2 linked regions of the Mus musculus genome follow. The protein of the gene in region 1 purifies or fractionates together with the protein of each later gene. This does not show direct contact. Links are inferred from orthologs where the notes say so. Each region holds a gene or a part of one and is shown in the gene's direction. Other genes may lie near its edges.

Region 1 (7,098 bases):
TGGCAACCTTCCCCACACTGCCAGTCAAATGGATTCCAGACTCACATCTGGGGTCCTTACCCCTCAGAAGGTGCTGAAAATGGGGCCTTTGAAGCATCTCTGTCCCGAGCCAGGGAGACCCAGAGGACTAGTGGGCAGCTTTAACTCCAGCTTGGGTGGGCACACTGTAGACTGGGCGGGGCAGAGCTGGGTAGCAAAGTGTCCTCCCCTTAACCTTACAAGCATACCCTGTCTGCTTTCCCTCCCTGTTTTCCCTGCGTGGGAAGTGAGAATGGATAGGACAGGCTGCTTTGCCCAGACAAGTATCCCCCAGGCCACCATCCAGAGCCTACAACCCCTAGCCCTGCCTCTGGCTGGGTGGCAGAATGGAAAATCCCACCCACTAGTGCCAAGAGGGGCTGGAGCCTCTGCCAGGAAGGCTGGCAATGTCCAAATGGCATGAGCGGGCCTAGATGGGTGGCCAAGCACAGAATTGCTCCTTCTGAGGCAGGGTCTAGTTCGTAGGCCCTCCCTCCGCCAGCTGTCTGCTTCCTGCTAACGAGGGTGCCAGCTGTCTAACCCACTCTTCTCTAGATGCCAGGGCTAGGCTGTTTTGGGAGTGGGGGGTGTCAGGCGTTACAAGAAACATGCTGGCCACTGTTCAAGGACTGGCTGGGGGTGAAGTAAGCCAGTTATACATCTAGTGCCAGCCTAGGCCTGGAGCATCTGAGACAGGAAGGGGCTGAGTGCCACCTGCCGGGCAGCATCTCTGATCAGGCCTCTGATCAGCTCTAAGTGCCCTATCCTTCCTGAAGGCTGTGGTCACTAAGTCAGAGCAATTCCATTCCTCAAAGCAATTAAGTCATTGCTCCAGCTTAAAGATGCTCTACAGCATGCAGGCTTCTTGGTGTTCATGCGTGGCTGCTGGCAGACACTAGAATCCTGGTTCTGCAGCCTAAGCCAAAAAGTTGTTTAAAGACCATTTCTTTTCAGAAAGCCCATTCTCTAGATGGGGAAGTCGAGGCCCCATACTGATAGAAGTCTCCTGTCATACAGCTCTTGCTCTTCTTTTCTAAACTGCATGTGCACAGTCCCAGCTTCCACCCCCATGCGTAACAGCCTGGCCCTGTGTGCCTGGAGGCTCATGATGAAGCCCTGGAAAGCTGGAGCTAAGGGGAAGGCCTGGGTAGGTCCTAACTCCTGTGGCCCTGTTCCTCAGAGATCCCTGGCCGATGGATCACAAGGTCTACGCCCCCGGAGGGCTCTGACGTCACAACACCCAGCACCCAGGAGCCGGAGGCACCTCCAGAGCGAGACCTCATAGCCAGCACAGTGGCCGATACGGTGACCACTGTGATGGGCAGCTCCCAGCCTGTAGTGACCCGAGGCACCGCTGACAACCTCATTCCTGTCTATTGCTCCATCTTGGCTGCTGTGGTTGTGGGCCTTGTGGCCTATATTGCTTTCAAGAGGTAAGAGGGGGCACACTGAGGATGACATAGGAGATGTTTGCTCCGACCTTGACCTGGAAACATACATACCCTTAATTCAACCCTAAATTCATCCTCCAACACTATCTCATGCCCTCTGGGGTGTATCCGTGTGTGTATGTGTGTGTGTGCTCATATTAGTGTGTGTGTATGTGTGTATGGTGTGTGTATGTGTGTATGGTGTGTGTGTGCTCATATAGTGTGTGTGTATGTGTGTATGGTGTGTGTGTGCTCATATAGTGTGTGTGTATGTGTATGGTGTGTGTGTGTATGTATGTGTGTATGTGTATGGTGTGTGTGTGTGTGTATATATGTGGTATGTGAGAGTGTCTATGTGGTGTGTGTGTGGTGTATGTGCTTGCATAATGTGTGTGTATGTGTGGTATATGTGTGGTGTGCATGTGTATAGTGTATGAGTGTGTGTGTGTGTGGTGTGTGTGTGTGTGTGTGTGTGTGTGGTGTGTGTGTGGTGTGTCCATGTGGTGTATGTGGTGTGTGTGTTTGTGTGTGTGTGTGTGTGTGTGTGTGGTGTATGAGTGTGTGTGGTGTGTTTGTATATAGTATGTGAGTATATGTGTGTGTGTATATATATATATATATATATATACATATATATACATATACACATATATATACACACACACACACATATGGGGGGTGAGTGTGTGTGGTGTGTATGTGTGTGGTATGTGTGGGAGTATCTGTGTGTGCGTGTGGTATGTGTGTTTGTGTGCGTGTGTATGTGTACAGTATGTGGGGAAGTGTGTATGGGAGTGTGTGTGGTGTGTATGTGTGGGAGTGTATGTGTGTTATTACATGGTTTTCTTTTCTGTCCTGGCTCCAGCTCTTCCCTACTCCCAAGCTGCTCCTCCTGTTCCTTAGTCCCTGCCACCTCCTCTGGCTACTTGCATCCCTGCCCTCAGTCACACTCACCCCACGGTTCCTGGTTCTGCATGTGTCTCTTCTCTTCCTAAGTCACCCTTGCTTTCCTGTCACTCCCAAACTCCCTTGTTACCCTTGGGCTCCTGTGGGACCCACATCAAGGAATTCAAGACAGAAGAACTCGCAGAAGGCATTTTCAGCTTTGAGTGTGCGTCCCATTCCGTTTTTCTTTTCTTCTTTCTTTCTTTTCTTTTCCTTTGGTATTTTGTTTTTAAATCATCAAAGTGATCCATGCTTTTTAAAAGCAAATGCAAACAAGACTGAATTTGTTTTGCGGTGCTGAGGAATGGAACCCAGATCTTTGAACATGCCAAGCCTGCTTACTACCACTGAGCAATAGCTCCAGTCCCAAGACTTCTAAACAGCTTCCAACGCAAAAAGCAAAAGCCTCGCTTTATCTCCTCAAATCCTGCACATCTTGTGGGAAATCTCTTTGGGATAACACTTTCTAAGCTGTTTAGAGTGCATATATATACACACACACATACATACACACACACGTTATATGCATATATACATACACATATACCCACACATGAATGTTTTATAATTACATGTAGACATGAAGAACTTTTCTGACGATTCGGTGGGAACACACCATTCACCGTCTACAATGTACTCTTCCCTCTTACTCCCCCTCAGGAGAGCTTTCCTCAGAACACAGATTATCTGATCATTTACAGCCTCTCATTCAACAGCACCAGACATGGGCTGTAATGTGCTTAGCCAGTCCGCTCTTGATGGACACTTATCTTCAGAGTTTTTGTTGCTGCTGCTGCTTATGTTTGCCAAGGAAATCTGTGTGTGTGTATGCGCATGTGTGTGTGTGTGTGTGTGTGTGTAAGTGAGTGTGTGATTGCTGCTCACATATGGGAGTATTTTAGTAGGGAGAAATGGAATTTCTAGGAAGTCATTTATTTGTGTAGTTGGTTCTGTGAACATTTACTGAATGTTTACCAAGTTCCTCCACCCTTGCAGAGCTTTCAGAGTGTGTGTGTGTGTGTGTGTGTGTGTGTGTGTGTGTGTGTGTGTTTATGCACCCGCACGAGTGTACCTACGCACCCACCTGCAGAAATGAGCATCTTATCGCCTCTCAGCCTTTTGGATAAGATCATATACAGAAATAAGCTCCTTAGACCCTTTGGGGACATTGCCACACTCCCAGCCTCAGTCGGCAGCACAGCTACGTTGGCTGCACTGATAGAATCCTCACCCCAAGCCCTGGCCTATCCCCTGTCCCTGGGCTGCAGATGGAACAGCTGCAAGCAAAATAAACAAGGAGCCAACAGCCGGCCGGTGAACCAGACACCCCCACCAGAGGGAGAGAAACTGCACAGCGACAGCGGCATCTCTGTGGACAGCCAGAGCCTGCACGACCAGCAGACCCACACACAGACTGCCTCAGGCCAAGGTGAGTGAGAAGCCAAAAGACTGAGGGTGCAGTTATGATTAGACTCCAGGAGGGACCGGCAGGTACCAGGGTAGGAGAGGCTAAGTCGGGTGGGAGACATAGGAAAGGGGAAGGTTTTTGTTTTTTATTTTTGTTGTTGTTTTGCATTTTTTGTTTTTTCTCCTGGGATGACTTGGGAAATGCAGGCTTTTATAAGTTGGAGCATCCAGACTCATCAGGCTAATTGCCCCCCCCTGCCCCGGGGGGTTAATTACTGCCCAAAGTGGCTGCAATTAGCCTCCTGCCCTGGACTTCTAGGAAACAAGTGCTTAAGTGTGTACCTTAATTAGCGGCCCAGAGCCAGGCTCTAGGACACTTGCTGCAGTTGTCTGGAGCTGGATTGCCCTGTCCCCTCCCCCTTCGCCTTGATGATTGCTGGGGGGAGGGGACACGCGTGGAAAGGATGGTGCCAGCACCGAGGGTGTAGGGAGAACAGTGAGTCAGCAGGACCCAGGTCCCTCCCACCCAGGCCTCATCTAGGACCTCATCTTGGCTATCTCTCCGCCTCTAACTCTAGACTTGGAGGAACGTGCCTTGGCCCTTCTGGGGTCTTGGCCCAAGCTTCTAGGCTCACGGAAGGAACCAGGGCTCAGGGTTAGAGAACACGGAAGTGAGGGCTCAGGGTTAGGGAACATGGAAGGAGAGAGGGCTCAGGTTAGGAACTGACACCCCTTGTTCTCTGCAGCCCTCAAGGGTGATGGCAACCTCTACAGTAGCCTGCCCCTGACCAAGCGTGAGGAGGTCGAGAAGCTGCTCAATGGTGACACCTGGCGACATCTGGCAGGCGAGCTGGGCTACCAGCCGGAGCATATAGACTCCTTTACCCACGAGGCCTGCCCAGTCCGAGCCCTGCTGGCCAGCTGGGGTGCCCAGGACAGCGCGACGCTCGATGCCCTTTTAGCCGCCCTGCGACGCATCCAGAGAGCTGACATTGTGGAGAGCCTGTGCAGCGAGTCCACTGCCACGTCCCCTGTGTGAGCTCACCGACTGGGAGCCCCTGTCCTGTCCCACATTCCGACCGCTGATGTTCTAGCCCCCACAGAGCCGCCCCCCTCTCCCTTGGGGTGGCCCAACAGTCAGAACCGAGCATCTCTGTGTAGGGCCTCTGTGTCCCGCTCCCCAAACCACAGCCCTGTTGCTGCTCCTGAGGGGACCTTTGCTTCTGACCACACTCTCTCTCCGGCGAGAGATAGGACCACCCCAAGCCTGTCTTGCCCCGTGACCATCTCAGGCCTTTCCTTTCTTTCTACACATTAACTGTGTCAGATCTAGGGGTCTGACACTAGAGAAGGTAACAGGGGCACCCCTAAGACTCAGGGGGTACTAATGAACCAGAGCCATGGACTCCACACTGTGAACTGGAGAACAGGGGGGGCATTGTGGTAGGCCAGACCTTCCTCAACCCCTCCCTTCTCCCATCTGGCCAAAGATGAAGAGGATTACAGGCCTATCTGAGCTGAAAGCAGGTTTGGAGCCCAGTCCACACTCCTTCTCTTACACATAGGATGGTAAAGCCCAGAGAGGCAGGGACTAACCTAGGCCACCCAACAACAGGGAGATCAATTGTAGGCTGACACACTCCTTTCTGAATGAGGGCGTCAAGTGCTTGTTGGCAGGGATGGAGTGACTTTCAGGGAAACATCTGGAAACGACGTCTGCCCCGCCCTCAACCACTTCCAGGCCCCTACCCAACCCTTGTGCAGATGAACTGTCTGTTCAAAACCTGGTCCATTGGCCTGTTCTGATGGAGTCGGGCTAATGTCCTGGGGAGTGGGGTGCTGCCTTCCTCTGTCTGTCAGGCTTAGCCACAGGGCATTTGTGGAGGGATGAATCTGTTAGCACCCTCATTCGTGTCATAAGCCTGAAGCCAACAGTGGCCCTTGGAGTCAACCCTAGGGGTCAGGGACCAAGGACCCACCCCATAATCCAACACCACACACACACACACACACACACACACACACAGAGAGAGAGAGAGAGAGAGAGAGAGAGAGAGAGAGAGAGAGAGATCATGCTTTTCCCCCCATGGCTCTTTTTGGGCTGAGACCAGATCCTGCTGGAAGTCGCTGGCTGCCAGAGAAAGATGGAAGGGGACCGAGATGAGCTTCGTGGGGCTGTCTTCCTCACCTCCCGGCTCTGGCAGGCCAAGAACTGCTGCATCTGAGCTGGCGTGCGTGCGTCCGTCCCTGTCCGTCGGTCTCCAATGGCCTGTGTGTGGAGGAATGCTCACACCGCTCCCTCTCCTCCCCTTCTTGAAGCCCAACTTTGGCTGCACCCAGAAAACAGTGAAGAAAAGCAGGCTGCTGTGAGAACACAAGAAAATGCAGATGCTGGCCCGCAGTCTGAGGCAACTTTCTCCTCAGTTTCATGGCCCCTGCAAAGGACCAATTTCCTGGGCATGGCCAGGAAGGGACCCGAGTGCTCATTGGCCGGCGCTTTCACCTGGCTCCTTGGCCTGTTCTGTTTTGCTTGCTGTTGGAATGAGTGGGCTCCCCCTCTATTTAGCATGAAGGAGCCCCAGGCAGGGTATGCACAGACTGACTGCCATCCCTCCCCACCCAGGGTCCACCCAGCCCTGTAAGGAGACAAGGAGCCTTGTGCTCGGTGGTATTTTTATGGACCTCGATCTGCAATTAGTAGAAGGACCCCACCGGCTGGCCCTCCCCGGACACCTGGGAAGTGGGACATTCTTTGTGTATTTATTTTCCTCCCCCAGAAGCTGGGGGTGGGTGGGTGGGGGAGGAGCTGCAGGACCAGTTTAGCATGTGTTTGGTTCTGGGGGTCTCTCCAGCCTTATTTTGGGTCAAGATGGAACCTCTGGCCCTCCAGCTGGCGACTATGAGATCCAGACCTCTTCATGTTCCCTGACACTTCCCCTTTGCATCCTGTGTAATCATTTCTTGGGCCCTCCCAAAACCTACACATAAAACATACGTGATGACCATTAAATAGCAAAAAAAAAAGAAAACGATGCCAAGAGAATTTTTTTTCTGGAAATAACCACGTTTTGTTAGTTGGGATTAAATGCAGAAATCATCGACCCTTCCCCCCGAAACCCTTAACCTTTATAACTTCCAACTGTCCATTTTTCTAGAAGTTTTGACCAGAATCTAGCAACTTCTCGTATGCAGTCAAGAAGTGGGTGGGGGGAAAGAACGGGGTGAGGAGGCCTTTGCTCCCAGATCTCAGAGAGGGAAAGTGAAAAACTGCCATGCAGGAAGCTGGCCAGCTGTGAAC
Region 2 (7,122 bases), on another chromosome or scaffold:
GAAGATTCATCTTCCTGTTTTTCACATCACAGATGAATATCTCTTCACTGGTATTTCTACTGAACATTCTTTACTTTTGTCCAGTCTAGATGTCAAAATCGCTGCTCTTTCAAAACACACATCAAAACAATGACTACGTTATTGCTTGATTTCTTTTTTTTTTCTTTTTTATGTTTTTCCTTGTCATTTCCCTTTTCCCATTTATCATATGTCTTTCTGCATTCTATTTCAGGCAAAGACCTAAACTATAGTTGCAATAGGAGTGTCAAATGACTTGCCTACTCAGAACACCACCACCATTTTTTTTATCACTAGCTCCATTCTAAATTCTGTACCAAGGTAAGCATTTAGGAGACACCCTGAACCCTAGTACTCTCTGTGTATCAGTTGAACAAGTTGTGAGTTTGTACAGAACAAAGCTGAACAATATGGGTGAGTGTAGCTACCATTAAAAAGAAACAAGCTTGAGTTCCACACCATAGAGAAGATGCAAATATGATAGGTCAGAGGCTGGTCCCTCCTCCTCCCTCAAATTGTGGAATGCAGTTTTCTGTCCCTGATTCCTATTTTTGTAACAAAAATGGTACTTAACTGCAGTACTTCTGATGCAATATTTCTCTACAAGACTGATCTAAATGAAAAATTTAAAACTAAGCCTAACACTGCTCAAAAATATTTGCTGAAAATATTAAAATCAGTTTTCTGTTTCAGTTTTTGGCCTGAAAAGGCATGTGGGGCCCATTTGGGGGCTTCAAGAGAAAGGTCACTGCCTATGTAGACAAGAAAGAGCCAGGAAAAATTCACGTTTCATCCAAGGACCCTGCCCTGAGAGCATGTGTAGTATCCTCAGGAGGCTCCAGGATGACCCCTCCTTCCTCAGCTCTCTATGGAAGCCAGTGCCAGAAGAGGCCTCTTCAGAGGAGTCTGCCAAGAACAGCCTATTCCACAGCTGTATAATCTGTTCCATATTACAGTCTGAGGAAACCCATTGGAAAAAAATGTCCTTTCCAAAAGATCTGAAGACATAATGTCTCCATTTTCTATTTCTGAATCTCTTCTTGAATCTTTTCTGGGAGCCATTAATGTAAGTTTCCTGCATTTTCGTCTTAAATTCTAGTGTAGTATCTTATTTTCTATCTCCTCTTAAACTGAATGTAAAGATAACCCCCAAGTCTAAATTATTCCCAACATTCTTAGAACTCTAGTCCCAATATCCCTTGGATTTAGAGTAGTCATGGACAACACCCCAGTACTGGTTTATTTTCCTTTACTTAATGTTACTTCCCTTTCATTCCTTTTTATGTAATGTCTGTCCAGTCTCTATAGGAGTAAGCAATATATTGTGTAGCTATCAACTCCCAAGCTTTCATGCTAAATGTGCTCTCTGCTTAAAGTCTGTGCTCTGTGATTAAACATTATCCCAAATTCTCTTCCTTCTCTCTATAATAGTGTGTTGATCTTCTTCAGAAGGATTTCTTTGAATAGATGAAACCATTATCTGTAGGGGTGCTTTGGATCTCTGAGGTTAAGCAGCACCACAGTTTATACTGGGCTCCTTTTAAGTTGAACATTAATTCCGTGGCTTGAATTCTTGAAGCACTATCTATGAGTGTGGTCCTAATCTATAGTCTCTGGTTCAGCATTAAGCAACTTTCTTATCTGTAGGAATGTGTCTAGTGAGCTTCAGTAGGGGTTCTGCCTACTATCATGCTAACAGCTTCTTCAGCTTGAGTTCCAGCTAGGAATTCAACTATATAGCTCATCTTATTCAGTAGCTGATGCCCAGGTAGCTCTCTGGTCCCATCTCTGGTATCCTCCCTGAACAAAAAACAACTTCAAGATTGTCAGCCCCATACTTGTGACTTGTTTTCATGAATCCATTGAGTACAAGATGGTAAATACACTGTATATATAAACATAGTGATCTAGTGCAGAAAATTCTTCAAACTCAACCCACTTGCAGAAAAACAGTTCCAATTAATGAGCATCAGAGAACTAGAGCACTTTTAGCCCAAACACATAAAATCTCAAATATATACAATCTGAAACTTTTTCCAGGATATGCAGGATGTCACAAGTGAAAAATTCCACATCAGAGCTCGCGGAGTAGATCACAACTGAGAGAAAGTGTTGCCTTCAAAAATGTCAATAAGAAGCAAACTAATAACACGTCTAGGCTGGAGTTTAAAACAAGTTATTGTACATGTGCAAATATTCTCAAATCTGGAAAACTCTGAATCGCTTCTTGCCATAACTATTCTGGGTAAAAGATAGCTGTTATATCTAAACAAACATATTTTAGAACCTAGGAATGCCAACATGATATCTTAAATCTGTCCGCTTTAAGTGATGAGAAGGGCTAAGGAATTCCATTATTTCAGAACAAGAAAGATGATCAAATCTAAGGACTTCTGGCTTTGGAAGCTTCAACAATGGTCATTGTATAAAGGAGAGTTTGAGGAAATATCAGCTTTAGATGACCTCTCGATCTACCTTTTTATTTTTGGACACCAATATGTTGCATCTTATTCATGAGAGACTGTTAGGTATCGAAAAGAGCTGCATTTAAAATATATTGGGAAAGATTTGGATGTGCTCCCAACATGGAATTAGTCATTTGTGAATGACATAATTTAAGAAGTAGAAGATTTCTTATAAACGCAGAAGATGCAGTGAGCAGGGCAAAAAGGTAGTGGGAAAATATGAAAAATACACTGTCATAAAATGTGTATTAATAAATATGTTGATCATTTTCCACTAGAATCTTAACGGAAGCTTTAGATGAAAACAAAGTGACCTAATAGAAATGGAGAGCCCAAATCTATAGTTATTAAAATAATTCAAAACCAACAAACTGAGCATCCAATGATGAATGAATGCATATATATATATTTTATATATCCCTCATTTTCATGTGGGGCCTGGGGGATTTAAATTCTGGTTCTCATGCTTGAACTGCAAAAGCTCTTAACCACTGAACCAAGTCTCATTTTAATTAAAATTTTAAACTCCCATCAATTATGCTATATGAATCTACTACTTCTAGAACATTCAAATCTCACATGGATTTATCTCCAGTGTCTGTAACTACACTTTACATTCTTCCTTGTTTGATCTGCATTCAGATATGTAAGAATTTATCTCTATTAATAATTTCTCAATATTCCAATCTTAAACAACTCATCATCATCATAAGGTACAGCTTTCCAAAAGAAAAAAGAAAAAAAAGTCATTTCTGTTTCTCTTATTCTTTTGTAGAAAAACCAAAATCAAGAATTAAGTCTTTCTCCAGGACCTTCACATTTAATTTGATTTTGCACAAACTCAGTGTGTCCGAACTTAACTTCACCATCTCAGCTACATCTTTCTCCTTCAACTTGTTTCTTTCCCTACCATCATCTAGTTCTGTGCCATACAGGAGACCAGGAAATCTTTTACATAAGCCTAGTGGTACCCTCCCTTAGACCCCAGTGGTTGGGCTTTGCTGCTTCGCTCCTTTCCAGCCCTACCACCCTTCTGGCTTCCCAACACGCATGCGCAATATCGCATCAGCCCCGCCCGCCCGCTGCTGCGGAAGGCGCAGTGCTCAGTAAAGCGCACTTCCTCTGCTGGTCTCCACCGAGGGAGTGCCCGCTCCAAGAGCTCCAAGCCGCATCGGTCCTGCTCTGATCCGAAGGCGCAGACATGTCGGAACAAAGTAAGGACCTGAGCGACCCTAACTTTGCAGCCGAGGTCCCCGACTGTGAGATGCAGGACAGCGATGCCGTTCCGGTGGGGATCCCTCCTCCCGCTTCTCTGGCCGCTAACCTCGCAGGGCCACCGTGCGCTCCCGAAGGCCCTATGGCAGCCCAACAGGCCTCGCCACCGCCCGAAGAACGGATAGAAGATGTTGACCCTAAAATCCTGCAGCAGGCCGCAGAGGAGGGCCGCGCCCACCAGCCCCAGAGTCCAGCCCGGCCGATCCCAGCACCGCCAGCCCCTGCCCAGCTGGTGCAGAAGGCGCACGAGCTCATGTGGTACGTGTTGGTGAAGGACCAGAAGAGGATGGTCCTCTGGTTTCCAGACATGGTGAAAGAGGTCATGGGCAGCTACAAGAAATGGTGCAGAAGCATCCTCAGGCGCACCAGCGTCATCCTCGCCAGAGTGTTCGGGCTGCACCTGAGGCTGACCAATCTCCACACCATGGAGTTTGCCCTGGTCAAAGCCCTCAGCCCAGAGGAGCTAGACAGGGTGGCGCTCAACAACCGTATGCCCATGACAGGCCTCCTGCTCATGATCCTGAGCCTCATCTATGTGAAGGGCCGCGGGGCCAGAGAGGGTGCGGTCTGGAATGTGCTGCGCATCCTGGGGCTGAGGCCCTGGAAGAAGCACTCCACCTTCGGAGACGTGAGGAAGATAATCACCGAGGAGTTCGTCCAGCAGAATTACCTGAAGTACCAGCGTGTGCCCCACATCGAGCCTCCCGAGTACGAGTTCTTCTGGGGGTCCAGAGCTAACCGTGAAATCACCAAGATGCAGATCATGGAGTTCCTGGCCAGAGTCTTCAAGAAAGATCCCCAGGCGTGGCCTTCCCGATACAGGGAGGCTCTGGAGCAGGCCAGAGCTCTGCGGGAGGCTAATCTTGCTGCCCAGGCCCCCCGCAGCAGTGTCTCTGAGGACTAAAAAGGTCCAGGGGCACACTGATAGTTTCTGACCCATACTAGGGCTGTGTAAGGGTGGGGTTGAGTCATTAGAGTATCCCAAATCCACAGTGCAGTATTTCATGTATAATTTTTAAGTTTTCCATACAGTGCTTTTGTACCTTGTAATGCTATTCATTTGTGTACTCGTGTAGTGTTTAAGATTGATGCATGTGTGATAAGTATTTGGTACTTTCACTTTTGTGCTTTCGTGCATTTTTGTACAAGAGATGTGCTGTGCTAAACTTGTGAAATACATTGAGGTGTTCTGTATCTTGTTCTTTGTATGGGACTGATGATCTGTATCGACAAAGAAGGCCCTGGAGAGTTAGCAGGACTTAACAGCAACGCAGACCTGAGCAAGAGAAAGGTCAAGGCCTTTCTCCATATGACTTCAACTGGCACAGGAAGCATCCATGTGGAATGGACTGATTTGAACTGGACTGTTCTCAGTGTAGGCACTTAGCACCCTTTACAAAACATGTATGCAACCCCACCATAAATAAACGTTAAAATGAGCATTAAAGATACTGTGAAATAATTTCTTGGGGGGGGGGAGGAGGCATTTATTTTTGATGAAAGGGGGAGTGGGAATGGGTGGGGATGAGAAAGATTCTCCCTGTGTGCAGCATAAGCAAACACGGTGTCCTAACACAGTGGGAGACCACACGACCACTCAGAAGAAACTTGCAGTGCTTTAATCAATTTGTCACATAAAAGGTATAACAACAACAACAAAAAAGCTCATTATCACATAACATGGGGATAATAACAGGTATATGGAGGGCCTGCCCCTTTTCTGTTGCATTTTTTAAAATAGTCTTTGATGGACACTTTAGCAGAATAAACCCTTATCATGCATTTTCTTCTTTATTTTGTCCTCCCACCAGCCATAAGAAGTAAGGAATAACTGTATCATCACAGAGCAAGAAAAAATAAAAGGGGTGTTGGTAATGAACTATCCTAAAACCTTTATACAGGAGTCTTGACACCAAGCTCCCCATGGCCACCACTCACACACGCACTCTGGCCTCCCTGCTGTATGCATTAAGGGTTTGATTTTTCTAATTAATTCCAAGAGTTTCACAGAAAATTAGCTTCTGAATGTACAAATTAGGAAACTCGTTTCAGAAAGAATTGATGACCTAATCAAGTCCTTATCTTGCTAAGGGGTAAAAACAAGATCTGAAATTTCATCTTTCCAGAAGGATGAAGATGAGCGAAACTATTCTGACAGTCGTACCAGTAAGAGCCATGGCACTAATGAAATAGAGGAGGGGTTGGGATTAAGGAGCTGCCCCCAGAAGCATAGTCACATTTGCCACTCAGCAGTCAGTATGTTGCAGTGGGCAGTAGGTGAAGAGAGGGTGAAATGGGATGAGAATCACTGTAAACAGCAACAACTGGGGTAAAAATCTCCTTAGAAAGCTTTTGGTCTGGGGAGAAAGAGAGACACGAGGCTTTAATGAGATTAGAAATCCTTTAGAATTTGTGGTAAAAGTCATTTAGTAAAAGCTAAAAAGTAATTTCCCCCCTGGGAAAGGTGAATAAGGGGAGATACCTGTCACACCATACCGAGTAAAGAGTAAACGAGGAGTCCTATTAATATGAAAGAGATGCAACCAGTGTGTTGACGTGCAGAACTGCCGACATTTAGTGGCATTACCTAGCTTGTAATGCAGGGAATTAAAAGGCTTATAATCCATGTGTCTGTTAAAACGGAACTCATCATATTTAGTTGTGCCCATAGTCTTTCACTGGAGTGAGAATGGAAAGTGGGAAGATACTGACTGTAACCCCAATGTGAGTGACCCGGCTTTCAGCAGACTTCATAAAGAGCTGATGCTAGCTGGCACACCTATTTAAGACGTTTAGGGTTTTTCTGCTGTAAGAATATTGAATCTGCTTTGCATGGATCTGCTTGGCAAAGTCTGTTCTGCAGATTGCAGTTTTGCAGACCTACGTAAAACAGATTCGAGATCACTGACACTGGCATCCCGGCCAAGCATTCGCTGAGGAATAGGAGAGTGAGAAACAAGGCGCTGATTACTGACAGGCCCAAGAGCAGGGCTGCTCTCCAACTGCGTTGTCTTGGAGACAGCTTGCCATAGAGGAGGAAGCTTTGCAGATATGGAGGGTTTAATTCATGGTGTCTGGTTCAGTAGACACCACAACCTGCGGACAAAGGGGGGAATTACTCAATAACTTTCTTATATTTTCATATTGGCCTAAAAATTAAAAAAAAATAGGAGAGTACACCAAGTATTTTGGAAAAGATGCTTAAATAGACCAATCAGGAAACATTTAGCAGACTCAGTTTGTGAGTCCATAGCTATGATGATTTGATACTCTACCTGGGAGAGATTTCCCTGATTATTTTTATCTACCAACAGTAACTTCATTTTTACCTTGATATTTTACTCTTATAGCTCAGAACTATTTG

The links.
Region 2: the proteins of Ngfr (region 1) and Ndn purify together in Homo sapiens (affinity purification with western blotting; 3 studies listed by BioGRID). This does not show direct contact. The link is inferred for Mus musculus from reciprocal best matches to the Homo sapiens genes NGFR and NDN.

Annotation. Positions count from the first base shown.
Region 1 is NC_000077.6:95,568,544-95,575,641, reverse strand, and holds the end of Ngfr (tumor necrosis factor receptor superfamily member 16 precursor), read left to right. Parts: intron 1-1,198; coding exon 1,199-1,451; intron 1,452-3,661; coding exon 3,662-3,822; intron 3,823-4,546; coding exon 4,547-4,839; 3' UTR 4,840-6,824; downstream 6,825-7,098. UniProt on the Homo sapiens protein: Low affinity receptor which can bind to NGF, BDNF, NTF3, and NTF4. Forms a heterodimeric receptor with SORCS2 that binds the precursor forms of NGF, BDNF and NTF3 with high affinity, and has much lower affinity for mature NGF and BDNF.
Region 2 is NC_000073.6:62,344,724-62,351,845, forward strand, and holds Ndn (necdin), read left to right. Parts: upstream 1-3,553; 5' UTR 3,554-3,684; coding exon 3,685-4,662; 3' UTR 4,663-5,205; downstream 5,206-7,122. UniProt on the Homo sapiens protein: Growth suppressor that facilitates the entry of the cell into cell cycle arrest.